7 linked regions of the Solanum lycopersicum genome follow. Each later gene encodes a partner of the first gene's protein in a complex. Links are inferred from orthologs where the notes say so. Each region holds a gene or a part of one and is shown in the gene's direction. Other genes may lie near its edges.

The links.
Region 2: photosynthetic NDH subunit of lumenal location 3, chloroplastic (region 1) and NAD(P)H-quinone oxidoreductase subunit T, chloroplastic share a complex: the UniProt entries of both Arabidopsis thaliana proteins name them as parts of the chloroplast NDH complex. The link is inferred for Solanum lycopersicum from reciprocal best matches to the Arabidopsis thaliana genes PnsL3 and NdhT.
Region 3: photosynthetic NDH subunit of lumenal location 3, chloroplastic (region 1) and photosynthetic NDH subunit of lumenal location 1, chloroplastic share a complex: the UniProt entries of both Arabidopsis thaliana proteins name them as parts of the chloroplast NDH complex. The link is inferred for Solanum lycopersicum from reciprocal best matches to the Arabidopsis thaliana genes PnsL3 and PnsL1.
Region 4: photosynthetic NDH subunit of lumenal location 3, chloroplastic (region 1) and photosynthetic NDH subunit of subcomplex B 4, chloroplastic share a complex: the UniProt entries of both Arabidopsis thaliana proteins name them as parts of the chloroplast NDH complex. The link is inferred for Solanum lycopersicum from reciprocal best matches to the Arabidopsis thaliana genes PnsL3 and PnsB4.
Region 5: photosynthetic NDH subunit of lumenal location 3, chloroplastic (region 1) and photosynthetic NDH subunit of subcomplex B 1, chloroplastic share a complex: the UniProt entries of both Arabidopsis thaliana proteins name them as parts of the chloroplast NDH complex. The link is inferred for Solanum lycopersicum from reciprocal best matches to the Arabidopsis thaliana genes PnsL3 and PnsB1.
Region 6: photosynthetic NDH subunit of lumenal location 3, chloroplastic (region 1) and photosynthetic NDH subunit of subcomplex B 5, chloroplastic share a complex: the UniProt entries of both Arabidopsis thaliana proteins name them as parts of the chloroplast NDH complex. The link is inferred for Solanum lycopersicum from reciprocal best matches to the Arabidopsis thaliana genes PnsL3 and PnsB5.
Region 7: photosynthetic NDH subunit of lumenal location 3, chloroplastic (region 1) and NAD(P)H-quinone oxidoreductase subunit N, chloroplastic share a complex: the UniProt entries of both Arabidopsis thaliana proteins name them as parts of the chloroplast NDH complex. The link is inferred for Solanum lycopersicum from reciprocal best matches to the Arabidopsis thaliana genes PnsL3 and NdhN.

What each region holds. Positions count from the first base shown.
Region 1 is NC_090809.1:1,367,805-1,371,738, forward strand, and holds photosynthetic NDH subunit of lumenal location 3, chloroplastic, read left to right. Parts: upstream 1-1,140; 5' UTR 1,141-1,222; coding exon 1,223-1,487; intron 1,488-2,083; coding exon 2,084-2,370; intron 2,371-3,179; coding exon 3,180-3,278; 3' UTR 3,279-3,434; downstream 3,435-3,934. UniProt on the Arabidopsis thaliana protein: NDH shuttles electrons from NAD(P)H:plastoquinone, via FMN and iron-sulfur (Fe-S) centers, to quinones in the photosynthetic chain and possibly in a chloroplast respiratory chain.
Region 2 is NC_090808.1:63,749,795-63,753,063, forward strand, and holds NAD(P)H-quinone oxidoreductase subunit T, chloroplastic, read left to right. Parts: upstream 1-1,246; 5' UTR 1,247-1,623; coding exon 1,624-2,015; intron 2,016-2,101; coding exon 2,102-2,522; 3' UTR 2,523-2,725; downstream 2,726-3,269. Other genes in the region: monothiol glutaredoxin-S2-like, read left to right, coding at 291-599; uncharacterized protein, read right to left, coding at 2,726-2,918. UniProt on the Arabidopsis thaliana protein: NDH shuttles electrons from NAD(P)H:plastoquinone, via FMN and iron-sulfur (Fe-S) centers, to quinones in the photosynthetic chain and possibly in a chloroplast respiratory chain.
Region 3 is NC_090809.1:53,937,019-53,940,230, forward strand, and holds photosynthetic NDH subunit of lumenal location 1, chloroplastic, read left to right. Parts: upstream 1-1,157; 5' UTR 1,158-1,304; coding exon 1,305-1,431; intron 1,432-1,509; exon of another isoform or gene 1,510-1,523; coding exon 1,524-1,610; intron 1,611-1,678; coding exon 1,679-1,752; intron 1,753-1,832; coding exon 1,833-1,955; intron 1,956-2,074; coding exon 2,075-2,146; intron 2,147-2,232; coding exon 2,233-2,329; intron 2,330-2,402; coding exon 2,403-2,506; 3' UTR 2,507-2,712; downstream 2,713-3,212. UniProt on the Arabidopsis thaliana protein: NDH shuttles electrons from NAD(P)H:plastoquinone, via FMN and iron-sulfur (Fe-S) centers, to quinones in the photosynthetic chain and possibly in a chloroplast respiratory chain.
Region 4 is NC_090811.1:46,151,489-46,155,214, reverse strand, and holds photosynthetic NDH subunit of subcomplex B 4, chloroplastic, read left to right. Parts: upstream 1-1,481; 5' UTR 1,482-1,696; coding exon 1,697-1,768; intron 1,769-1,850; coding exon 1,851-1,907; intron 1,908-1,987; coding exon 1,988-2,123; intron 2,124-2,201; coding exon 2,202-2,257; intron 2,258-2,327; coding exon 2,328-2,399; intron 2,400-2,976; coding exon 2,977-3,105; 3' UTR 3,106-3,226; downstream 3,227-3,726. UniProt on the Arabidopsis thaliana protein: NDH shuttles electrons from NAD(P)H:plastoquinone, via FMN and iron-sulfur (Fe-S) centers, to quinones in the photosynthetic chain and possibly in a chloroplast respiratory chain.
Region 5 is NC_090802.1:62,985,699-62,989,670, reverse strand, and holds photosynthetic NDH subunit of subcomplex B 1, chloroplastic, read left to right. Parts: upstream 1-1,172; 5' UTR 1,173-1,296; coding exon 1,297-1,881; intron 1,882-2,341; coding exon 2,342-2,532; intron 2,533-2,670; coding exon 2,671-2,928; intron 2,929-3,081; coding exon 3,082-3,187; intron 3,188-3,441; coding exon 3,442-3,527; intron 3,528-3,623; coding exon 3,624-3,789; 3' UTR 3,790-3,923; downstream 3,924-3,972. UniProt on the Arabidopsis thaliana protein: NDH shuttles electrons from NAD(P)H:plastoquinone, via FMN and iron-sulfur (Fe-S) centers, to quinones in the photosynthetic chain and possibly in a chloroplast respiratory chain.
Region 6 is NC_090808.1:66,330,675-66,334,624, forward strand, and holds photosynthetic NDH subunit of subcomplex B 5, chloroplastic, read left to right. Parts: upstream 1-1,245; 5' UTR 1,246-1,338; coding exon 1,339-1,572; intron 1,573-1,910; coding exon 1,911-1,974; intron 1,975-2,254; coding exon 2,255-2,317; intron 2,318-2,813; coding exon 2,814-2,872; intron 2,873-2,978; coding exon 2,979-3,209; 3' UTR 3,210-3,450; downstream 3,451-3,950. UniProt on the Arabidopsis thaliana protein: NDH shuttles electrons from NAD(P)H:plastoquinone, via FMN and iron-sulfur (Fe-S) centers, to quinones in the photosynthetic chain and possibly in a chloroplast respiratory chain.
Region 7 is NC_090808.1:66,282,369-66,286,477, forward strand, and holds the start of NAD(P)H-quinone oxidoreductase subunit N, chloroplastic, read left to right. Parts: upstream 1-1,309; 5' UTR 1,310-1,579; coding exon 1,580-1,718; intron 1,719-3,209; coding exon 3,210-3,574; intron 3,575-3,666; coding exon 3,667-3,783; intron 3,784-3,877; coding exon 3,878-3,963; intron 3,964-4,109. UniProt on the Arabidopsis thaliana protein: NDH shuttles electrons from NAD(P)H:plastoquinone, via FMN and iron-sulfur (Fe-S) centers, to quinones in the photosynthetic chain and possibly in a chloroplast respiratory chain.

The sequences.
Region 1 (3,934 bases):
ACTCAATTTAACATGATTTCTACCTAATTTAAACTACTACTGTGAAACATTAACTCTTTAAATTAGTCAATTTTATATCTGAAATCGAATTTAAACATTTCTGTATATGAATACAGAGCAATGGAAGAAGGAATATATATAGAAAGTGAGATAAGTTAGAACTTACAGCGGTGTTATCGCCGGAAAGGATTTGACCGGAGTTGGCTCGTCGGAGAAGAACTTCGCCGGAGGAACTTGCCGGAGAGTGTGTAATTTGAACTTCGGTCCCAAAATGCGTGAAAATTTTGGGCTCGCATGGGTCCGTTTTAGAAGAAGTTTGGGCCTGTAAGTGAAGCCCATTGGGCTTATAGTTCATTATATGCAATACGATTACTCGAACGGGGCGGAATTGATCAATCTACATTTTCAATTCCGATTTTTCTTTCCACGAGCGTATCTACAGAATAAAGAGAGCAAATAAATGGACTTTGGTCATATTTACTCGACGTGCGGTCATTTCTTCCTTGAACATTCCGTTACGGAAATTGAATCAAGAAGAAATATGACTTTATGAGATACTAATAATTATTAGAACATGTTTTAATTGACTTATTTTAGGTGTATTTAAACAGTTTCATAGCATTCATGTAAAATATTAAGTATTTTTAAACACTTGATGCTACGACAAAATAACAAAAATAAGTCAAAACTCATATATTAAACACTTGATGCTACGACAAAATAACAAAAATAAGTCAAAACTCATATATTAATCTTTACTTATGTCACTTTGCTTATATAAGACATAAACAAGTATAGTTAAATAAGTTCTTAGTTCATTGACCATATAAAAAAAATACAAGTGTAACAAATAGGAGAATCGAGTTATAGATACAAAGAGATTGAAAATGAGTCAAGTAAAATAGATAAATTATCCAGCTCACTCGTATTTGATTCTTTCTTCAAAATAATTAGGTTGAAAGTCAGTGACAGAGCTAAGATTTTAAGTAACAAATTCGAAAAATAAAAATATCATAGGAATTTATAATTTTGGGAAAAACATAAAAAGGAAAAAAAGAAAAGAAAAGAGGGGAGAATTACAATCTTACCCTCAATTGAGATATCCTTCTAGTGGCCAATAGTCATCAAGATTTTCATCAAATGGATAATAATATTATAACTTTTTTTGAAAGTGCAAAAAATAGGCTATCATTTTTGTTCATAGTTTCAACACCAAAAAATTATGGCAAACACAACAAATTTAAACATTATATTTGAAGCTCTTCCCCTCATTCCCAAGATTGAAAAAATTCAGAAAAAAGCAAAAACAATAAGCCAAAAAAATAAAGAAATTCAAGAAAATTCACCACCAAAAATTACAAGAAGATTAGCATTAAGCATTGGTTCAATTGCTTTATTTGCAAATTCAAGAATTGATATTTCACTTGCTGAAGATAATAATGGATTTTTTATTACTGGTCCACTACAAGACCCTTCAATATCCACCAGTAAGTTTTTATTTTCTATATTTTTTTTTATCACGTCGCGTTTAACAGCCACTAACACTTGCATTTATAGATATTCCCAATTCATCTAATGCGAAATGTTTTATGTACCAGACTACATTAACAAAGTTCATGTATAGCACGAATATGAAATGGGTGAACCCCACATGTCCAAATTATTCGAGTAAAAAAATTTGAATTCGATGTAAAATTACCTTTATACACTACGAAAAAGCTGTGAATACATGGGGATTTTCCTTGGAATTAGTATAAAAATTCACCATAAACTTATTTTCCTATAAATTTTCATACTAATTCTCAGAAAAATCCCCATCATAGCTCATAGATAAGTGTGAAATTAGCCGAATCAGAATATTTCGCTGAAGCAGAAATGATAGGATCGTAAGAAGAAAAAGTCTATACGCCTATCCGTATTATGTAATTTACAGTTTTCTTGTAGTGATGTCGGACCCCATTTGGTGTCAAAGGGTAAAAAATTGAGCTTTTTTCGCGCATTTAAGTTTAAGATATCAAGAATCGAGTCGATCGTCCATAATTTTAATATGTTAGATAAAAGTTTTTGTAATATTTGATTGTAGATATTATAAACAAGGAGACAGGTACAAGATCATTTCTTAAGAAAGGAATGTACATTGCTAATATTGGAACAAAAGGGAGAATTCATAGGTTGAAAAGATATGCATTTGATTTATTGGCATTAGGGGATTTGATTGGAACAGATTCTTGGAATTATGTGAGGAAATATTTGAGGATTAAATCTACATTTATGTATTATGATTTTGATGAAGTTATCACAGCTGCACAAGTGAATGATAAGCAACCTCTCACTGATCTTGCTAATCGATTATTTGATAACGTTGAGAAGGTACATTTGATTTTATTTGTCTGATATTATATGTTGCTCGTATCCTTCAAAAATATTGTCCCAAATGTGTTCAAAAAATATATATAGATTTGAAGAGTCTGAGCAATATATGATTGATATTAGTTTGGTTAAACCCTACAAAAATTTTGTCGTATCAGTGTCACATCCTTGAAAAATGCATGTTTTCTTGAGGATGCGGTACACAATGTGATGTCAATAGTGTTTTTGAAGAGTCTGAGCAATATATATACACATATATAGGCTTGATGTTATGTTAATTGGACCATCTAAAAATGTTGTTGTACCTGTTATGTCGGATCCATTGCATAGCTTTTGGAGGATCCTCGATTGACGGACATATATAGAAGCACTTTTGAAGAATCCGAGCGACATAGGTTTGATAACTATGTTGGTCGAATCCTCCAAAAATACTGTTGTGCCCATGTGGAATCCTCCAAAATCTTACACACAAAAACTGTGACAATATTATTGAAGAGTCTGAGCAACATATGTCTGATACAATATTGATCGGACCCTCCAAAAATATTGTTGTGCTCGTATCAGATCCTCCAAAAATCTTAGCACATGCTCTGGCAATATTATTGAAGTCCGAGCAATATAAGTCTGGTGTTGTGTTCCTCTGACACTTCAAAAATATTGTCGGATCCTTACAAAAATGTATAGATTTTGTAGAATACGACACACATTATGATTGGTGACCGTCAATATTTTTGAAAAGTCTGAACAACGTAATTATAAATAGCAAAGTTTTTGATCATGTGTTTGCTCCAATATTTTTTTTTATGCAGCTTGAAGATGCTGTGAAGAAAAAGAACCTGCCTCAAACACAATCATGTTATCAAGAAACAACTACTATTCTCCAACAAGTCATGGACAGAATGGCATAAACAAAACATATGTTTTAATTATATTCTGTTAATTAGTCATTTTGACTACAAGAAGACAAAATGTTCCTTCGTAAATTTTGGAATTGTCAATAACACTTTGATGGAGATTCAATTTGATTTCCACATTTTTATAATAGAGACAACTCGGTGCATGAAGCATCTCGAGTCCATACATGACCTATGGAACGATGGAAGGATTACAATCCAAGACTTATTTCAGGTTCGAACATGTAACTAATAGGTCAAACAAAGATAACTATAACTTTTTAGCAGCATTCAAACATAATGAAATATTACCAAACAAAGATAACTATACCGTACCATCGTAGCAAAATTTTTATACATGACCCGTGGAACGGGGGAAGGGCCATAATCCAAGACTTATTTCAGGTTCGAACATGTGACTTATAGATCACACAAAGATAATTATAATGTTTTAGCAAAATTCAAACATAATGAAATATTATCAAATAAAGATAACTATACCGTTTTAGCAAAATTCAAATATGATGAAATATTACCAAACAAAGATAAATATACCGTTTTAACAAAATTCAAATATAATGAAATATTATCGAAAAAAATTAAAATGGAGATGCGGGGTATCGATCCCCGTACCTCTCGCATGCTAAGCGAGCGCTCTACCATCTGAGCTA
Region 2 (3,269 bases), on another chromosome or scaffold:
ATGGTGGATTTTTTTTTTATATATATATTTTTGGTACACTTTTAAGACAGTATCAAGAACTTCTAATGCTATCTAACAGTATCAACTCCTTATCTAAAAAATTATTCCTTCCTTTAATTTATTTGGGTGGGGGGGGGGGGGGGGGGGGGGGTTTAGAGGAAGCATATTGAATCTTCACAAGTCACTATTAGTATATAAATAGCTTCAATAAGAGTTTCAAATTCATCATCAATTCAACAAGTTATCAATTCTCTTATATTACATTAATCTTTTTTTTTCATTAATTAAAAATGGAGTCATTGAAAAAAATGGTAGCTGAAAAGCCAGTGGTTATGTTTAGCAAAAGCAAGTGTTGTATGTGTCACACTATAAAGACACTTATATCAAGTTTTGGTGCTAATTTAACTGTATATGAATTGGATGAACTTCCCAATGGGCTACAAGTGGAGCGAGCTCTGCTGATGCTAGGCCGAAGGCCTAGCGTGCCAGCAGTGTTTATTGGACAAGAATTAATTGGCGGTGCCAATGAGATTATGAGTCTTCATCTAGAGGGAAATCTTGTTCCTCTACTCATGAAAGCTAAAGCTCTTTGGCTATAGTGTGTATATATATATATACACTTTTTTTTTTGCTTTACATATCTAGTATGCGAAATTTACTGGCATGATTAGTTCAGACTCACGCTAGTAAAACTACAATATATCATGTAGAAAGTGCATATTAACACCTTGTAAGTTTGGTTTTTCTTAATGTTTGTGGAATTGAGCATCTTTTATTTAGTATGCTCAATGAAAACTCTGTTTTCTCAAACAAGTGTCTTTTAATGTATCTTTAAGCATTGTAATAATAAATTATATACAATGCCATACTTCAACATGACTTGTCATTCTGTTTTAATTATTTTTGTTAGATGCTTGAGTATGAAGTTGTGTTTCCTCGAGATGTGAATCCAGGATTTAAAGTTTGTAAATTCGGAATCTATTCAAAAAAGTAAAATATGTGATATTTGTATAATGATCCTGCCTTGTGAATTGAAAGCAAGATAGATTTAAAAAGGGTTAAAAGAACAACTTGGCTCTCTTTTATTTGCCACAAAAAAGAAAATAAATTACATTGACCTCCACTTCAACAATTCAAAAAACAAGTTACGAGTTAGCTCATCCTATAAAATTAGTTTAAATATATGTCAGCTAACTTGAATATCATGATAATTATATAAAAAGGAAAATATAGAGACAAGGGGTGTGTTGCGTTCCGAACACTAACTCACAAACTCATTCTTTTTGCCACCCAACTCCCAAGGAGTATGATTGTATTTATAGGTGGCAATGAGCGGGTAAGACTGAATTTGTTCGGGTTAAAAATGAGCTGAGTTAATAAATAGACAGGTCATTGATCCGCCCAAAAGTTACTTGGACTGAAATGGACTAAAACGTGGATCATAACTCAACCTGTCCAACTTACTTTTATAATTTTTTTAGTACCTTAAAGAATGTATATAAATTGTCTTGAAGTTAAAGAGTACAAACGTCAAAAATCAAAATTATTGATATTTCACAAATGTAGACAAAAAAGCAAACAAAATGTTTAGTTATTTCCTCAACCACACAGAAAGACAAGGTGATGAGAAAGCCCCTCCCTCTAAGACTACTCAAATCAGACACAAAACAAATTTCCAATTCCATGGCGTCAGCAACAGCTCCACCAGCTCCATTCACCTTTCTTACAAGGAACCAAACCAATAATGAGCACAGAACAGATACCAGATGGTTGACAACAAAACAAAGAAGACGCCGTGTTGGCTTACAAGTTTATGCAAAAGAAGAAGGGGCTACTGGGCGACAACGTGCTCCTCCTGGTGTTGACACAAGAATTCACTGGGAAAACGAAGATGAAGGATGGGTAGGAGAGAGTAAGTCACGGTCCACACAAGAACGAATCAAAACAGACGAAAAGAATCTCTTTGATGAAAAATTCTCAGACCTCCTCAACAGTTCAGCTAATTCTCACTACCAGTTAGTCTTCATTATCTACTTTGCTATCTTCATCTTATCTCTTAATGTGTGGCTCACAGTTCATAATTCTAATGTTTCAAATTCAGGTTCTTGGGAGTATCTGCAACAGCTGATCTAGAGGAAATTAAAGCTGCATATAGGAGGCTATCAAAGGAGTATCATCCAGACACAACTAATCTTCCTATAAGAGCAGCATCAGAGAAATTTATGAAACTAAGAGAAATTTATGATGTCCTGAGTGATGAGGAACAACGGCGATTCTATGATTGGACACTAGCTCAGGAGACAGCAAGTCGAGAAGCAGAGAAAATGAAAATGAGGCTGCAAGATCCACGCATGCTGGAAGTAGAAAACTGGGAATCTGTTCCAGACATGGTGGATCGACTTGGTGGAAGGAACATGGAGCTGAGTAATCAGGCAAAAACTGCCCTCACATTTGATATCTTGATTATCATCTTTTCGTTTTGCTGCATTATATATGCAGTAGTCTTCAAGGAACAATATTAACAGGAACAACTATGTGCATTATACAACAACAATATTCTATACTGTCAATACGCAGTTCATACACTGCAATGACAATGGATTGGGAAACAGAACGACTAGAGCTTTAGTCATAAGTATAACTATAGTTTATTTCTATTGAGATTACAAATTTACACTATTGTCTTTTCATGAGATTATTGACAGCAAATGAAGAAACAATTCTCTCATACATCAATAAAATCTTTCATGATGGGGCTATGTTTCTCAATGTTAGCCTGCCTACGCCAATTACTCACTGCATGCTTAACGGTGTCACTGGCTTTCTGTATTTCCTCAGCAGAAAATTTGTGTTCCACAATGCCTAGTGGACCAGGTTGTAGTACCTTAACTACAGTTTCCATATCCAGCTCCAGTTGCCTGTTAAAACAAACACCAAAATAATGCTGAAAGACATGGAAATTCATATTCACAATTTGATCTTTGTGTCTCATTCTGGTCTAAAAGAGAATATTAGGAAAATCCAATTGAAGAGTGCTTTGAAGCGCACGTTCCTATCAATCTGCATTTAGATACCTACTCTTCAATCAATAAATAATAACAAAGAACAAGAAAACACCAACGGTCATGCTAATTGCTAAATAGAAACAAGAGTTTCTCGTTTCTTGATAACACAACTCCGTAATTCTCAAGAGTTTGATAACAACTCCGTAATTCTCAAGAGTTTGATAAGTTCTAAAATTTCACTTACTCTTCAAATATCAAATGAAT
Region 3 (3,212 bases), about 53 Mb from region 1:
GATAAATCCATATTACATTTGGATTAAATCTTAAATCACCATATGTTGACCAAGTCAAATTACTGGTTGATAAAGTCTAATTAATATCTAAGCCAAAATTGTATGACTTAAATCAAGTCCAAATCATTTGGATCATTCCATTAAGTTGACAAGATGAGCCCAACTCATGTTCTTCAGGCCCAGGGATCAAAATTGCTCAGACCAAAATACCCTAAAGCCCTAACTCAAGCCTATATAAAGAGGTATTCTTCTGACCAAAAGGACAAAAAAAAATACATATACACAGGAATACATAATTGCTTTTCAGCATATAAAGAAGTCTTCGCTCCAAGGGTTGAGCCGCAAGTATTCCGCCAAATCAATAACATCTGTGAAGAGAAGAATCAGGGGATTAAATATCTTTTTGAGATATTTTATAAAGATTGTAACCTTAGTATTAATTCAAATACAAATATTATTGTTTGCTTGCTATTTTTCCTTTCCTGTATATTGTATTTCAGGATTGAAACTTTAGACGCATACACTGAGATTTGGATCATCCAAGGTACATTAACATGGCGTACTCCACCCCTGGTACCCTTTGATCATTCTTCAATTATATTTGGCGTTGCATTTACACAGTTGATGAATACCTCCACGCTAGGATGTAAATTGATCATTGATGCATCGCCAGTTGGATTTCCTTTCAAATAGCTTGTGCTATACAGTGATTGAAAGAACCTGTGCTTGGTTTTTCCACATCAACATGGGTGCATTTGATATCACATTTCATATGGTCGAGTTGTTAAAGTATCATTATCTTAAATTCTTCGAAGTCAATTGTTAAGGTTTTTAGCATTGATCAACCCATTAATTTTTAAGTTATAAGTTTACATTTACTATCTATTGCAATTTTGATGAATTTTTACACATAAATTTATATTTCGCATTAAAAGTACTGAGTTCAGATAAACTCGGTATCAATACATTAGATCCGCCTCATCCATCAAGGATTCAAGTTTGTGCTGTTGTTACATACAGATATTTATGACATGGTAAACTTGTGAAAAATTTGCAAGAACAATTAGTAAAAATTATCAATGTGGATATAGTCAAATTTTAGCCCCACATATGAAGCACAGCTCATTTAGTTGTAGTTGAAAGAGACATAAAAGCCCATTTGGACCTTGGCAGGAAAGGTCATCCTCACATTTAATTTGCATCTTATCCTATTGAGCAAGAAAAAATGATGGAAAAAAAAGTGATTGTATTAGGAGAAAAAATAAACATGTTAAGCAAAAATCTAGTGATTTTTGTCCACAAAAATGGCAGCTACTTCACTCTCATTGAATCTTGGGCTTCCATCACCAGCAGCCAACAATTTGAATAGGCATGGCTTACACAACATTATTACATGTTCGGCATCAGAAAACACGTCCCCTAATCAACAGAGTAAGAAAATTTCATATCGATCAATTATGAAGTCATGTTTGCATTTACGCCATTTTCTCCGTGGTAAAATTCTACTAGTATCTCTGTTTCAGGATGCTTGATGAGAAGGTCATATCTATTAGGAGCAGGGGCTCTTTCGTTGGGTTTATTATTACCCGCGACTCCCCTTCTAGCTCAAGGTACTCTGTTACTATAATTTTTATTCTCTAAACTTTTTACTTTTTATAATTAAATGACGTGTATGCAGGAGTACCGGAGAACTATGAAATCTTTGTTGACAAACGAGATGGTTATTCGTATTACTATCCATCAGATTGGAGGGTATGTTGCTTCTTTTTTTTTTAAGAAATGAATTTTTAGAAATTAGTAAACTCTCATTTTGACTTTGGATGTATGTACAGGAATTCGATTTCAGAGGTCATGATTCTGCATTTAAAGATAGGTATCTACAACTGCAAAATGTAAGACTTAGTTTTATACCAACTGATAAAACAGATATCCATGATTTGGGGCCAATGCAAGAGGTAAATCGCGGTACTATTCATCTATGTAGCCGTTTTTTATTAAGCTATCAAGGAGGAGAAAAATATAAAAAAGACATGTATTTTCTTCGTCATACCAACTTATTTCTACTTTCCTAAAGGTTGTGCCCGATCTGGTAAAACATGTTTACTCTGCACCGAATCAGGTGGCAAATATAATGGAAATGAAGGAGGTATGATCCTTTCTTATTCTCTTGATTGTACAATATACGTAGCTCTTTTTCAATTAGTCACCATATTTTTGTTCAAAATTATGTAGAGAACTACGGATGGGAAAAACTATTTCACCTTTGAATATGTATTGACATCTCCAAATTTTTCGCGGGCAGCATTTGCTACTATAGCAATTGCAAATGGTAAGTGATCTGGTTTGTTTCCTTTAACTGTACATTACATTTTTCTGCATTCGTATTAAGACATTTCGTACAGGGAGATACTACACATTAATCGTGGGAGCGAATGAAAGGCGATGGAGAAAATTCCGCAACAAACTTAAAGTGGTGGCTGATTCATTTCAGGTGTTGGACATTTAGAATTGTTCTAAGAGCTGCAATGATAGAGTCTTGTTCCATGAAACAGGATTTGCAATTTGTTTATTGAATTACAGTACAAAGAATGTTTCTGGCTATCCCATAAGTAACTGAAATCCCCTTGTAGTTGAAGCGGTGAAGTGTTAACGACAAATTTTAAAGTGATGGAAAATAAAGCACAAATAAAGTACGGCATGATACATATCTAATCTTGGTTTCAAATTTTAACTTTGACCTCCAACGTTCATAGTAAACAAACAAACACTTCAATTATCTAACCCTTTAATAAATAAACACGCGAGTCGTACCTGGCAAACATGTAATGTGCATGTATTTTGTGCGAGTTAGGAGTAGTAATTTTTGAGGTCCACAATGGTAAAAAAATGCTGAAATAACAACTCCACCATTAATGAATCCCTTTTATATATTTTTTTATATTTCCAAATCAAAATTCATTTAAATTTTTTTTAAATTCTAAAATGGACGCATAAAATATTTAATTAGTTGGCAGTCATTGAGTGGCTCACTAATATACGTGGGAGCATTTGCATTTCACTCTCTTTGTCTCCAAAAATCGTGTGTTTATTTATTTAATGGTATGATAGTTTAAGTGTCTATTTGTGCACTATTAAAGTTGGAGGTCAAAGTCAAAATTTGAAGTCAAGTTTAGGGTCCAATATATGTATTATGCCTATAAAATATGATGAAA
Region 4 (3,726 bases), on another chromosome or scaffold:
ATTAATTAATGACGTGACAATTTTCTATTGGCCAGATTTTAAATAACCTAAATTAATTTAAAAACCCACCCATTCCTAAATTAGATCCGCCCCAAATTCAATTAACCCATCTTTGAGTATATAACAGTACCTCAGACAGAGCACCTCCTGTAGAAGACATAATCAAACTGGATTTTGCACCATATCTGAAACTTGAAGATCTTACTGATGACCATATTTTTACGAAACAACGCCAGTGTTAGAATTCACAGACACCATACCAGCAGAATGAGGAGTATGATCGCCGAGCCATGGGAAAACGAGTCGAGAATCAGGTGAAGCACCAAGAAACTTTGGCAATGGTGAAGGCTCATAACGCCTGCTGCTACTACTGGAACGACTATCACGATGAAGGGTATCTTGCCACGCCCATCTACCATCATCCCGTTTCGATCTTCCTTGAAAGATAACACAATTTGCCAGATCAATTCAAATGCTTAAGAAATGTCACAAAATTAAAATGGTATTGAACTAGCTGAATTTTCCTAAGATTAAACCATTGAACTAGCTGAATTAAATCAAACAGTAATGGCATTACTGTTTGATTTAATTCAGCTAGTTCAATGGTTTAATCTTAGGAAAATGTTTTAAGAATTAAGGTGAAGAGTGAGTAGAATAAGAGGAAAGATAATGAAAGATAGAGATGGATGTTAAGCAATTAGGAGACTTTAGTTAGTGATAATACTTTTTATTTATAAGTTGCTCTGGTTTCTTGATCTGCAAAGAAAAAAGAGGAAGGTGATGTGTGTGTGTTGAAAAAAAAAAAGTGGGGGTGAGGGGGGGGGGGGGAGTGATGGATTTTATTATCCTTTTGAAGTTCTTCAGGGCAAGAAATCGAAGAAGAAGCTGGAAATTTCTTCATGAAGAAGAAAAGACAATGGAGTCATGAAAATTGTGAAAATGGGAGGAATAAGGTTTTAGCATATTTTAATTAGATGGTTATTTTTAAAATTGGGTCAAGTGGGCGGATTTAGTTAAAATAGGTGGGTTTAAAATTATTTTAAATAATTAAATTACAATCAATGGTTGAGTGCCACGTAATTAAAAATTATTATTTAATTATTTTTAATTTTGGTTTGTTAATGAATGGGTAAATTTAGACCCAAGGGTGGGTGTGAAGGGTATTTGGGGGCCAATAGATGGATGGAGGGTAATTGTGTACCATTTTCAATATTTCGAAGGTATTTTAGACCCTTTTCTATATTTTTAATTCTTTTTAGTTATAATTTTATGTTAACATTAGTAATGAAAATACATTTTTTATGTATTACTTATTTATATTTTAGTTATATCTTCTATGATACATAAAATAATATATAATTTTTTGTAATTTACACCTACATTAATTATAAATGTTTCTAATAAGTTTTATGCTAAATAAGTATTGAGTGTAGCAAATATCCCAATGATTTAAATTCCAATATCCAAGATGCGTATGATGTGTGGTAAAGGAAGAATAAGACAAAACCAAAATTGTTTGAGAAAATAATAGTTGTGAGTAAGCAGAAGAGTGTGTTTTTCTTATGTGTTTTCTTAACCTTATAACTCGGATAAAGGGAATAGATGAACCGTGTGTTTTTCTTATGTGTTTTCCTAACCTTATAACTCGGATAAAAGGAATAGAGGAACCCAAAAATAACTATCCCAAACTCAAATCATGAGCTTCACATTCATCAAACCCTCTATTCCTAGTCCTACATCGGAATTGCTGCACCCTTTCAGTAAATCAGTTAAAACCATTACTTGTATCTCAAATTCAATCTTTTTATAATTAATTCTGCTTAACTAATTACCTCTTTTCACTTTCTCAGCAGCTAAGGCATTGTCCAACCTCACCTTTTGGAAATAATGCAGGCAGGAGGCACCAGGTAGGTTTTACATGTTATTATTGATTTGAACAAGTATGGTTTGCAAAAGCATAATTAATGCTGTGGATTTCTATGATTAGATTGAAAGAAATAGGGTGAAGGCACTCCCAGATTGGCCATTAATGGCAGTATTAGTTGAGCATATGGAAGGTCAAAGAGACCTCATAACTCATAAATCTGTTTGGCATCTTAGTGATGAAGCCATGAAGAATGTCTGTGAGTAATCATTACTTACTAATTCATTTTTATCATTCTAATTCAAAATTCTCACACCTAATTTTTTCTCCATTGTAGATACATTTTACATCATGTTCACTGTTTGGGGATGCTGTTTCTTCGGTTCTACCAAAGTAAAATTTTTGAAATTAAACTTCATAAAATTGAGTTGTATCTCATTATTATGTGTCTTTTTTCTTTTAGGATCCTTACTATGATTCAGAACAATACAGAGGAGATGGAGGTGATGGTACTGGACATTGGGTCTATGAGAAGGTACAGTTTTTCTTTTCCGTTTTCTATCAAGGTTAGAAAATCAAAAGGGAAAAATACCCTTTCTTGTTCGCGACAGAGAAATGTTTATAGGTTTCAGTTAATATGTCGTTTGGTTGGGAACAAGTTATATTAGGATTAATTATACGAATTAATTATTTGATCATGTAAATGTGATAACTTATCATAAATAATCTCAGAACTGCTTAATACCTCCAACCAAACACACGGATAAAACATGGATTATCATAGTTTATACCTCACATGCGAGTTTTAGCTTTGACAGGTGAAAAAAAGGTTTTTAAAGAGTTAATTGTAGTCTAAATCCTGAATTCTTGATGTGAATGTTTTTTCCATTAAAAGAACATCTCTCGTTTCTAAAATAAAACTTTACTGAAATAATTTTATGCATATAAATGTCAAAATCATACTAGCTAGTTTCGAATTGTCTGAATTTGTTTCAACATGAATTTTGGCACCTAAATGTCCTATTCAAGATATATAGATATCTTTACAAGGTGGAATGCCATGATATTTGTGTAGTGAATGATACTACAAATCTGATTTTGTGATTGTGCAGCAAGAAGACATCGAAGAAGAAGCGAGAGCAGAGCTGTGGCGTGATGAACTGATAGAGGAGATTGAACAAAAGGTTGGGAGTCTTCGAGAGCTTGAAGAAGCTGGGAAGAAGGAACAGTTGGTCAAATGATCATCTTTATATGTGCTAAGAACAAATTTTATGATGCTTCCCAGTTATGTATATACAATATATGATTTCCAGTTCTATACAACATGGCTGTTTTGCCTTAATTCAGTGTTATGTTGCAAAACTCAGATTTCCCCTTCAAAATGTTGTCTTAATGAACTGTCACAATGTCAACATTTGCACTGTACAGAATCAGTTCTCTTTTTGTATTTGCTACTAGCAAGTCATGCAATGCTCTTTTAACAAGATTCATGGCATACACATCACGAAATCAAAAATTACTTCAATAATAGCCAAATTGTTAACCCTTTGGGTTGGATCAGTAGTTTGACCTTGGGACTTGCATGTTTGAAACCCCCTGCCAGCGAAAGCAAGAAGTTTGCCTTTTGGGTCGAACTCATTGCAGCAGGCTTGCAAGTAGTGAGCTATTGCATAAGAGCGAAAAAATTACCTTGTGCGCACCCAAAGAATAGTGACTGTGAAATCCCGTTGTCTTCAAAAATAAAATTAAAAAATAATAATAATGGCCAATATGTTCCCTCCCTGGTTGAGGAGATTGGAAAGAATTTTGGCTTAAAGCTACAAAAGATATCATCTCTGAATTTACATTCAAGACTGCATAGT
Region 5 (3,972 bases), on another chromosome or scaffold:
AAGCCTAAGAATTTACTTTTTTTTTCTCTTTTATGATCTCATTATCTCTTTTTCTATATATAATAATATTTTGTTTTTTCCTTTTGATCTCATTAATTGACTCTGTTTATAATCTTTACTTTTTTGACTTAATTGTTACACAATTTTGTGAAGTTCCTTTCCTTTTTCATGCATCTTTTTTTCTTCTTGATTGCATATTAAGCAATCGTTTTTAGGATAACTGTACTTGATTCTCCCTATGATGGAACAACAATATACATAATTTGTTATTTGCTAGCACTTTGTATTTTAATTAACACAAGTAGTATAACTCACGATTCTGACAACATAGATAGGATTTCTCCGTCTCAGACAGTAATGGAGCTAAAATTTTATCTAAGGGGTGTCAAAATCTAAAAAAATAAAATTATGTAAAAGCTAAGGAATATCAATATGTAATATATATATATATATATATATATATATTAAACCTAACTCAATTCAAAAAGCTAATTCAGGGCGATGTTTTTGAAAACGTTTTGGGGCGAGTTTCAGGGAGGGCCATATCGAAAATGCTCCAGGGCGTAAATGAAAGAAGTAAATTCATAAGGTGTAAGTCTTGAGCATAAAAAACGTAAGTTCTGGGCGTAAAACGTATATAGTGACGTTTTAATTTATTATTTAAAACTTTTTTTACTTTAAATTATATTTTTACTATTGGTGTAATAATATTTTTCAAATAGTAATTATAATATATTTTTCTTCATTATTGATTATTAATATTTATTGCAAATAAGAATTATAATCATTGAAAGATTTATTTTTATTTATTTTATTAGTAATAAAATTATAATATTAAATATACATGAGACTAAGCCTAGTAGACCCATGGGGCTTACGCCCCGTGTTCAGGGATTTACTCCTCGCCCTATACGATATAAATCACCTCACTTTTTAAAATATTGATTCAGAATACGAAAGAAATTCTAGTAAAAATTATTTTCTCTTTAAAATCAAATTTATGCAATTTAAATTAGTTAGATTATCAATATGGCTACCATACACTCGATTGAAAACAAAAACAAAAAATACTTTTTCATTCGTCATAATTTATATGATATTATTTAATTTAATATAAAATACAAATGATAGACATAAATTGAGACAAAAAATCGCTAATGACGAGGCAGGAACATAGTGACAACAATGGGGACCTACTTATCTCACTACCTTCACACATTGAAATCCAACGTCACCTTCTGCTATAGTTTTTAGCTATCCCCAAAAAAAGTTGCAGAATTTTATGATAACACTCAAATGGCTGCCTCTACTACTCTACTATCTAACTCCATTTCTCCTTTCTTTGCTAATCCACCTAATTTTCCTGTAACCCATGTCACAAATGTACCTTTCTTGAACCACAATCCATCTTTTCCCGCCAGAAAATCAGGGAATTTTTGCCTCAATGCCAAGAAAAAAAATCCATGGCTTGACCCTTTTGACTATGGTGATGATCCTGAAATGGAATATGGTTCACTTTTTTCTGAAGGGAAACAAGATGAAGATCCAAGGCCACCTGATAATCCTGATAACCCATATGGATTTCTCAAATTCCCAATGGGATACTCTGTTGAGATTGCTTCGTTGGGTTTGAAAATTAGAGGTGATGTTCGGAGATGTTGTTGTGTTATTGATGGTGGGGTTTATGAGAATTTGCTGTTCTTTCCAGTAATTCAGATGATTAAGGATAGGTACCCTGGTGTTCAAGTGGATATACTTGCAACAGCCAGGGGAAAACAGACATTTGAGATGAATAAAAATGTGAGGTGGGCTAATGCCTATGATCTGGATGATGATTTTCCTGAACCAGCTGAGTATACGGATATGCTTGGAATTCTTAAGGTTTCATGCCGTTCCATTAACATTAACATCGATTCATAATTATTTAAATTCTACGTTGCTTGGACTCTTCAAAAATGTTGATTTTAAAGTGCATTACTTTTGGAAGTATCCGACACACATTAATCTACGAGCAACATAGGTTTAAGCAAGTTGTTTCATTTGAAGTATGATTCTTGTCGTGCCTTGATGTATTAGCACCTAAAATTAGAGAAAGTAACAAACATTATATGGAAACTTAGTTAAATACGAAGATTTAACTATGGTTATCTTATGAGTTTGCAGATAATTCAAAAGTTGAGCAGACTACGTTTGGAAAAAGAATCGCTTAGATTAGCTTCAAGATGCTGTTCGTCTTGTTTAGTCAGATAGAGATAAAAGAATTTGCTTCCTGCATTATGAATAGAGAGTTATAGTCATTTTTTGGGCTAAGTTATTTGCTTTAATGCATGGTTTGTTGCAGAGTAGGTACTATGATATGATCTTGTCAACCAAACTGGCAGGGATTGGACATGCAGTATTTTTGTTTATGTCGACTGCTCGTGACAGAGTTAGCTACATTTACCCAAATGTGAATTCTGCAGGAGCAGGATTGTTTCTGTCAGAAACTTTTACACCAGAAAGCATGAACCTCTCCGAGGGCGGATATCATATGTAAGTAGATGTTCCAACTGATAACTTGATCTTTTTGACTACTGAATATTCATTTCAAAATAGGGAGTTTGAAAAGTGCAACAGTTGTACTTCGTCAAAGTTTGTATAAACATGTTTACATACACTTTTTTGAAATAGGTACCGTCAGATGGTTGATTGGTTGGGCAGACCAGCTCGTAAAGTACCTCGACAACCTTTACCCCCACTTAAAGTTTCAATCTCAAGAAAGGTTAGGGAGGTTGTAGAGGCAAAATATAAGAATGTTGGTGCACAGAAAGGCAAATATATTGTGATTCATGGGATTAAATCAGATTCAAAAGCTTCTATGCAGTCAAGGGGTGATATTGATAGCTTGCTCCCTATTGAGATTTGGGCTGAGATAGCAGAGGAGATAAGGTATAATGTCAGTATTTTATTCTCTGTCGGAAAAAGGGCCGACTCGACTACATGGTCATTTTTAGTTCTCGAATTAGCTGATTAGCCTTTTTTCATCAAATGCAAGAAAATTTGTGAGCTATACTAATGGTTTGTAAACTATCATTTGATCAGGGGAGTCAAGCCAGTTTTTGTCATTCCACACGAAAAAGAAAGAGAAAATGTGGAAGATGCAGTTGGTTACGATGCTAGTATAGTGTTCATAACCACCCCTGGACAGGTTTGTTTTCTCAACCACTTTCACAATATCAATGACCGATGATCAACCAGTGTTTAGTTGAACAACCATAAAAGAAGAAATTGGTTGGAGTCACAGATATAATGGCAACAATTTACAGTCATATTCAAGGAGGGTATAATCAAATGAAAGTAGTTTGCTTCTGTTGCATGTTTAGTGGCAGCTTTAACTATAGTCTATATACCGCGGGATGAGCACTAGAAAACTAACAGTCCCTGCATATTTCTCTGCCTTAGCTTGCTGCTCTTGTTGATGACTCTGCTGGAGTGATAGCTACAAATACAGCTGCGATACAACTTGCTCACGCACGTGGAAAACCAAGGTAATGTCATCTACTACAAGCTGTAGACGCGGAAATTTTTTGCACCTTCTGCTGTCTTTGTGGGGAGGTTGATATATCTTGGTTTTGTCTGTACAGTATTGGGCTATTCTGCTCTGAGGATAAGGCCAGAAGTTTTGTTCCCAATGCAGAAGCAAAGAAATGTGCAACTATTTCATCAAATACTGGAAAATTGGTTGATATTGATGTTGAAGCTGTGAAGAGTGCTGTTCAAATTTTCACCATGCCCCTAGCAATCTTCTAAATATTATACATCCTCCAGTTCTCTTACATATAGTAATTAAGTATTCCTGTAATTGTTACTAGTTCCATTTTCTTCTCAATTGTAATTAATAGAAGCGGAAATATATATATTCGTTCTTTTTTCTCAACAGAAAAGGAATATGGAGATATGTTATTTATCAATGTGACACTTTAGGACATTCTG
Region 6 (3,950 bases), on another chromosome or scaffold:
ATACATAAAAGAAAGATACAGTATACGTACAGTTGCTTAATAATTAAAGGAAAAATTATATAAAATATCAAATTATTAATTCAAATTAATGTTATAATCATACTTTGATTTAATTGTAACTCGTAGCAAACAATTGTCATTCACCTCTCTCCCCGACGAATTTCGCTTGCCACTCTCCCAGGTCTTGCTCGTCACTCTCCCTCGTCTCACTCACTTTATACAAAAGGCAAATGAATAAATTGTGTTTGTATTTGTATAAAGCGGGAGAAAATTATATGTACACATACATATAATTTCGTCATATACACTTATAATTATACAAATACAGATTTCCTCTACAAGTTCTCTTTTGTCATTCTCTCTTTCTCGCTTTATATAAACACAAATTACAATGTATACTTTGTGTTATATAACTCGAGAGAGAGAGCGATTTGATATACAAATGTTTTATTTCGATACATTGTATACAAATTCAAATTTTATGCAGATATACAAACACATAAAATTGAATTTAGAGGTTGTCAACGATTTATACAAACGAGAGGCTGCCAATGATTTAATGTACCATAGCAAGTATAAAATTTGGTATGGGCCGCAATTATACAAACTATAGTTATAGTATACAAATATGATTTTTTATGTTTGCTAAACCTAAACTTACTTATAATTAAATAGTTTCCTATTGAAATAATTATTTCTGTATGAATGTCGTCGATATTTTCCTCCTTTTTTCTCCCTTATTTTTGTCATAAGTTGGAAAAAAATTTAAAATTTTGAAATATTGGTGAAAATATTTTTTTAAAATAGTTTTAAAATAATTTTTATAATGGTAAGCAAAAAAAAAATCTGGTTTATGGCTAAGAGAGGCTAATTTATTTTGTTTAAAGCATTTTGAATAATCTCATTTAAATAGACATTTACGTTCTCCAATTCTGGATATGTACAATTACAAGCAGACATATAAATATGTATATAATTAAACAAGTAGACACATCCTATGTGACATCGTACGTGACAATTTGCATCCTATATAATGTCCTACGTGCATTATATCACGTAGTACGTCTGTTTATGTTTGTTCAATGTTATATAAATTTAAGTGTTGATTTATCTACAATCAAAGTTGAAAGACATAGATGTCAGATGAAATCAAGTTAAAAGGGGTCGGAAATTGTGGTAACACAATAAGAGACTAAATAGATATTAAAAAAAAAATATAAAACCATAATATATAATAGCCTTATCCACGTATAGCCTTAACCATTCAAAATATATGGATAATAAAGTTAGAAAACATAGAGTAAACAAGCAAGAACAGAGCAACACTACTCAACAACAATGGAGAATTCTTTAACACTTTCACTACTCTCCACAATTCCAGTTCCCAATTCAGTATTCTCAACAAAATGGAGTGTTCTTTTTCGAGGAAATCCATGTTCGATTTCCTCGAAAATTGGTACAAAATGTGGTGGATTTAGATCATCAACAAGATTGTATGCAGGACTAACAGAGATAGAACCAGATATCAACGAAGATCCTGTTGATCGATGGAGAACTAATGGCATTGACATTGTAATGTTTCTTTTCTTTTCTTCGTTGTTTTTAAATAATTGTAGTGTTTGAGTAAGTTTAATATCTTTCATCAACATAGATATCGAATAATTTTGATATAATACAAAATGTCCTTTTAACTTGGCTTTTTTTAACTGACAAATGTATCTATTTTTTCAATTTTATATAAGTCTCTATTTGTGTACATCGAAAATAAGAGGATATAGATGTAACTGAAACAAAATTGAAGGGCATATTTATATATTTATGTAATAATTTTTTTTTTATTGAAATTTTGACGGATTTATTTTAAGGCAGACGCATGTTAACTAATTTTATTTTATTTTAATTTGTTGCAGGAAGATTATGTTTTTGGAAAATACGATGATCATCATACGTACTTTGAAAGTGAAGATAAAAAAGGTACATAACAATATGTGTGTGTTTTTTTCGATTTAATTTGTAATTTGAATTGAAAAATATCTAAATTTGTCCAATGTATTATTATATGAATTCGATCAAGTTAGTCTTCGTTCGACTTTTCGTTTAATAAATCGTTTCATATTTGTCCAACGTGAAATTGGTGAACTCCACGTGTTCAAATTCTTCGAAAAACACAATATTTGAGTAGCTATTTTTACAAAAATAGGTAAATGTATTTATACTTAAACTATACTTAATTCTATATCACTTGCATTTTCAGTATCATTTTGGGGATCCATAGCAGAAGATTATGCTGCTATTGCACCCCCAACAGGATTTCAAGGTATGTAACAAATTACCATAATAATATGATCATTAACTTAGTCATTTACTTTTCGCACTTTGACTAATTTCACGAAATACTTTCCATCAGCAACAAGTATCAGCTAACTCTATCCATCTACCAACACCGATTGTGGTTCACTGGTGGGAGTGTTTCACTCTTAACCACAGGTCTCGGGTTTGAGTATTGGATATGATCTATTGAGAAAATCATGTTGGGAGCGTCACCCTCAAATATAGGACCTGCAATGTGCGATTCGAATTTAGTCGTAATTCCAATGTAAGCTCCGGACATCGGGTGGAAAAAAAAAACTCTATTCATCCACAGTGGATAAGACAAATGAAAGGATCACCTAGAATTTTTCTTCTCTCGCTGAGAATTGAACGTGATGAGACCTCGTGACTCTTAACCAGTTCATTGACCACTAGGGCACACCCTTGAGTGCTTCTTTAGTTATTTACTTAAAATAACTTATTTTTCTGGTGTTCGACAATAGGTATCATTTCATGGCTGTTTCCTCCAGCAATAGTTGCAGGAATGTACTTCAATGTTCCTGTAAGTTAATGACTAAATCTCTACTATATTACACATTTTTCGAGGCTCGAAAACACCCGTTTCCAGCAACTAAAAGTCTTGTATTTTCACTTCTTTGACAATGCAGGGGGAGTATTTGTACATTGGAGCAGCTGTGTTTACAATTGTGTTCTGTATCATTGAGATGGACAAACCAAGTGAAGCACACAATTTCGAGCCTCAAATATATAACATGGAGAGAGGTGCGCGAGATAAGTTAATATCGGATTATAACACAATGGACATTTGGGAATTCAACGAAAAATATGGTGATTTATGGGATTTTACTGTTAAGAAGGACGATATCATGAAACGATAGAAATAAAAAAGAACAACGAATTCATATGTTCTGAATATATCATTAAGGTATCTAAATGAATCGCGTAATGATCATTGGATTTCATCGATTACTCGAAGATGCATATGATCTGGTGTTGTTCCATGGTTGTACTATATGTTTCTTAACTACATTGAGATGAAAAAAAAACTCTAATGAACTCCCTAGCTGAAGAATTACACTGTATATATAAGGTCAAAGTTATATATTTCTTATTAGTATATGTCAAATCCCTTTATCAATTCTTTATATTTTGAATTTCCTTAATAAAAATTCTGATTGCGCTACTGCGATGAGAGTTGTATAAATCAAAGTACATAGGATGTTTAAAGTTACATTAAGAAGGAACTTAAGAGTTGAAAAGTTTGATTGAATGATGAGTGATAACTAACATGATTTGGCTTTTTTTTCTAATATTTTTTATGAATGTTCTGATATTGCTTGTTGTATGTGTAAATATACCTACTGAATTAGCTCTATGTACTACTTCCGTTCCAATTTAAGCGACACTTTTTGAATTTCGAGATTCAAACAAGTCTATCTTTGATCGTAAATTTTTATATATATCTTTTAATTATTTTGAATTGTCAATTATTACGACTTATATTACTTTTAACGTAGTTTACAAATATATAAATTTAAATTTTGAAAAATATTAAAGATTGTACGTGCAAATTTTCGATCATACTTAAACTATTTGACTCTGAAAAATGAAAAATATCA
Region 7 (4,109 bases), on another chromosome or scaffold:
ATTTCTGTAAACAGGGCAAACTCCCACTACGTTGTAATCATCTTGAAGCACATCAACGCAAAACCAAATCTGCTATCCCCAGGTTCCTCCACTTGATATCCACCACATCGATTAAGTCTATAACTAGGCAACTTGCTATACTTTCTAATTGACGGATTCCATATAAACAAGTCATGCAATTTGTTACATAGGCAACACAAATCAATCTGTTTACCGAACCCACCAGCCAAGGATAGTCTTTGGAAATTTTACCTGGATAATCCAAGTCAATTACCTCCTTTACAGAATGGCGATGTAAATCACTACACATAACTAGCCAACATAAATAGCAACCTTAAACATAACTCCTTGTTACTAGCACAAAATAAGAGATGCGTCTTCACAAATTTAGGGATAGAGATTAAGGAAAGCCAAGATTTCGACACAGACCTGAATTGTAAAAGGGATTTCACCGGAAGCCTTAACAAAACTAAATCTTTGCTTGAAATGGACTGAATTTCCATGGGTTTGCTCCGCTTTGGGAGGCTTCGTCCTCTTTGGATTCCATTTGGGTTTTGCAGAAATGGGAAATCTTTGAGGTTTCGATAGGGAGATTACTATATAAAAAGCCCTAAAGTTTGTCTTTTTTATTTTCCCTCTTACAACAGAGCTGGTTTTAGTTTTTATGTTTTAATACTATATAAATAATATTTTCACTGGTAATTTATATTTTAAAATCATTATATATTGAGTGTTGGTTATATTTTGTTATCTTAAACAACTTATGTCTTATAAGGTATAAATTTATTTTCAAAATATGATGCAGGAATCAAAGCACCATAGTACGTGTTCTAGTTAAAGGAAGGAGATATATGTGCTCCAATTATTTTTGGAGTTCTGTTATGTGTTTCAAAAGTTTTACTAGTAATTATTGTGAAACATTGTCTTTTTTAGATGTTAATGGTCGTATCACAATTCATATTTTATCTGTGGTGAACGTTCTTACTCCTTATGAATTTTACAATGAATACTTAACTTTGTTTTATTTTAAAAATTCAAAATATAAAAGAATAAAAATTAATTTATTTGAAGGACAACTTATGCAATTAAATAGGATGTTTGGAAATTTCATAATCTTTACTTGGATTTTGGATTTTCAATCCAAAATATATAAATTAGGTTTAAGTTTGGCTTTTGTTCTTTTCTAAATCACAAAATTATTTCATTAAAAAAGTTACAATAGAGTTTGAACTCTCACCTTATGATTATTATTCTAGCTATGTTTGAATATACAATATAAAATTAAAATTTGAATAACTAATTTGAGATTATGTTATCTCAAATTTTAAATTCTCCCCAAAACATCATTTCAATTTTTAAAATATAGAACTTATCCCATAAATTTATATAGCTAATATTATTATGCATATTTAAATATTTGTTATTTGTAATTTCTTTATTGTAAAGTTTATCAGCACATTTATTGAGTGGCAAGGAACAAAGTAGTCATCTTTGTCCAAGTTTGCAATGGTCCTTCCACAGTCTCTGTTGCTATAGCTGCCTACTGCCACCACTCACACACTGCCACCAAAATACCCAAATGACAACTCTCTCCTACACCTTCCCTAGCACCACCAGCAGCAGCAGCAGCACTAGGAGGTTCTTGATTACTAGCAATGGGTCTTCTTGCCGGCGGCGCCCCAATATTTCCACTGAAGACCAACCCTGTTCCTCTTCAGGTCATCCCCAATAACCCCTTTCTCTGTGTGTGTGCGCAGTGTGAAGATTTATAATGCTTAATTGATATTATGGGTTGTTACAATATCTTGATATTAGGGTGATCACTAAAAAAGTGAAAAGATCAAGACTTTGTAATAATATTGCATCTGTGTGAGGTGGGGTGTTAATTTTTATTTTTTTTTAAAAAAAAGGGGTTCATATTGGTGGTTAAGGCTTGAGCACCTCCTACCTTTGAGGTAGTTTAGATAGGCCTAAAACTTAATTTTACATGGTATGAGTACCAGGTTCATTCCCGGTGTGAGCTTTTGGTTCTCGCTCTCAAGGGGCCTAAGCGTGAAGGAGGGTGTATGGTTTTGCGATTGAGTTAGGTCCGGATGACAATATCTTTACGGACTTGATAACTTAATGGTTGATTCAAGCTTGTTAAATGTAAATATTAAGTTATGTAGGGAGTGGAAGTATGCATTTTACTTAATAATGTTTTGAAGTTGTGTACAAATTCAGCTTCAACTCACATTTGTTCCCAATTTTCAGCTTTATGGTTCAATATCATGGTGTGTGTGTGTGTGTGTGTGAAGATGTATAACGTTTAGTTGCTATTATGTGTTGTTATAATATCTTGATATTAGGGGGATGGTTAAAGAACTGAAAAGATCAAGACTTAACTTAATGGACTATTCAATCTTGTTAAATGTGAATATTTAGTTGAGTAGGGAGTGATATGTACACTTTACTTAATTCTGTTTTTAAGCTATGGTTTGGGTGTGTAGAGATTCAGCTTCTACTCGCATTTGTTCCCAATTTTCAGATTTATAGTTCAATATCACGGTGTGCGTGTGTGTGAAGACGTATGCTTAGTTGCTATTATGTGTTGTTACAAAATTAGGGTGATGGTTAAAGAACTAAAAAGATCAAGACTTGATATCATAATGGGTGATTCCAGCTTGTTATATGTAAATATTAGTGGGGTAGGTAGTGAAAGTGTACATTTACTTAATTATGTTTTGAAGTTTTGTTTTTTGGGTGAGTAGAGATTCAGCTCCAACTCACATTTGTTCCCGATTGTTATTGTTTTACATGGTATGAAATCCAGACTTTCCCTAATATTGGTCTATAAAGCTGAAAATGTTTGTGCTTACTGTTATGCACTGTCACATTAAGCAGTGCATTGGCAATGTTTCTAGCCATTGTTGACAATGGTAAAAACTGACTTCTGGTTCTCGAGTTTCACAGGTTGCTTACAGTAGGCACCCTTTCAGTTCTCCCTGTAACATAATCTTATCAGTTCTCTTTGGAAAATGACTTATTTATAACTTTTTCTACCTTTTACATGTGGAAATGCACACTTGCAGCACCAAAATGATACTGTTATCCTGTTCGCATTAATTAAATTTTGAGAGTGATGTCTTAACGTTCAATGTTTTTCATTATGATGCCTTTGTTCTTTCGGTCATGTACCATGAAATCTGAATTAAAATGGCAAAATGCAGCCTGTTATCAAGGGGCAGTGCAGTCTTATGGTCTGCAGAAGCAACGAGTACAATTAAATGGCATATCAAAGGCTGTGAGAACGAGAAGACTTGATTCAGTTGGAAGACAAAAGAAAGGAGCAATTAGATGTAACATTGAACTTCAGGACTTCATAGGTGGAGATCTCATTAAACCTGATTTGGGTCAATGGTTATCAGATGTGGAAGAACACAAAGCCATAGCAATTTACTCTCCTCATGAAGGGGGCTATGAAGGACGCTACCTTACACGTCTTAAGTACCAGGGATATCATTTCTTGGACCTTTCGGCTCGTGGCCTCGGTGACCCTGAAACCACTCTTACCAAATTCCACCCTGTCTGCCCTGTAAGTTTAGCAGTTCGCATACGATATGCTTATTCTCAAACACTAACTTGCAGTGTCTAATTGACTCTCATCTGCAAATTTTGATGTTGCAGGCTCATGTTGGTAAGCAACCAATAGCTAGATGGTATTTTCCTCCAGAAGTTGATTATAGGCTTTCTTTACTTCCTCCGGATGCTAAAGGATTAGTGGTTTGGATAATAGAAGCCAAGGTTAAATCCACCCCTTCAAGTGTACATCATCTAATTAGTCCATCAGCAGTATTTTGACTAGATCTTTGTTAACTGTTTGACCTAAAATGTTCAGGTCTTATCAAAGGCAGAGCTGCAGTTTCTTGCTTTACTCCCGACACTTCGTCCTAATGTGAGGGTCATTGCAGAGTGTGGTAACTGGTAAGATTTTCCTTTCATCTTCCTTTTTCTTGTTTATCAATCAACTCTCTTGTAAATAAGGAAACTTTGAGATCTTGTCGTTGTGGTTAAAACAACATTGTATGCAAAAGCTACCTGGATTTACTTCAGTTTAGCCTTCTGTGGTC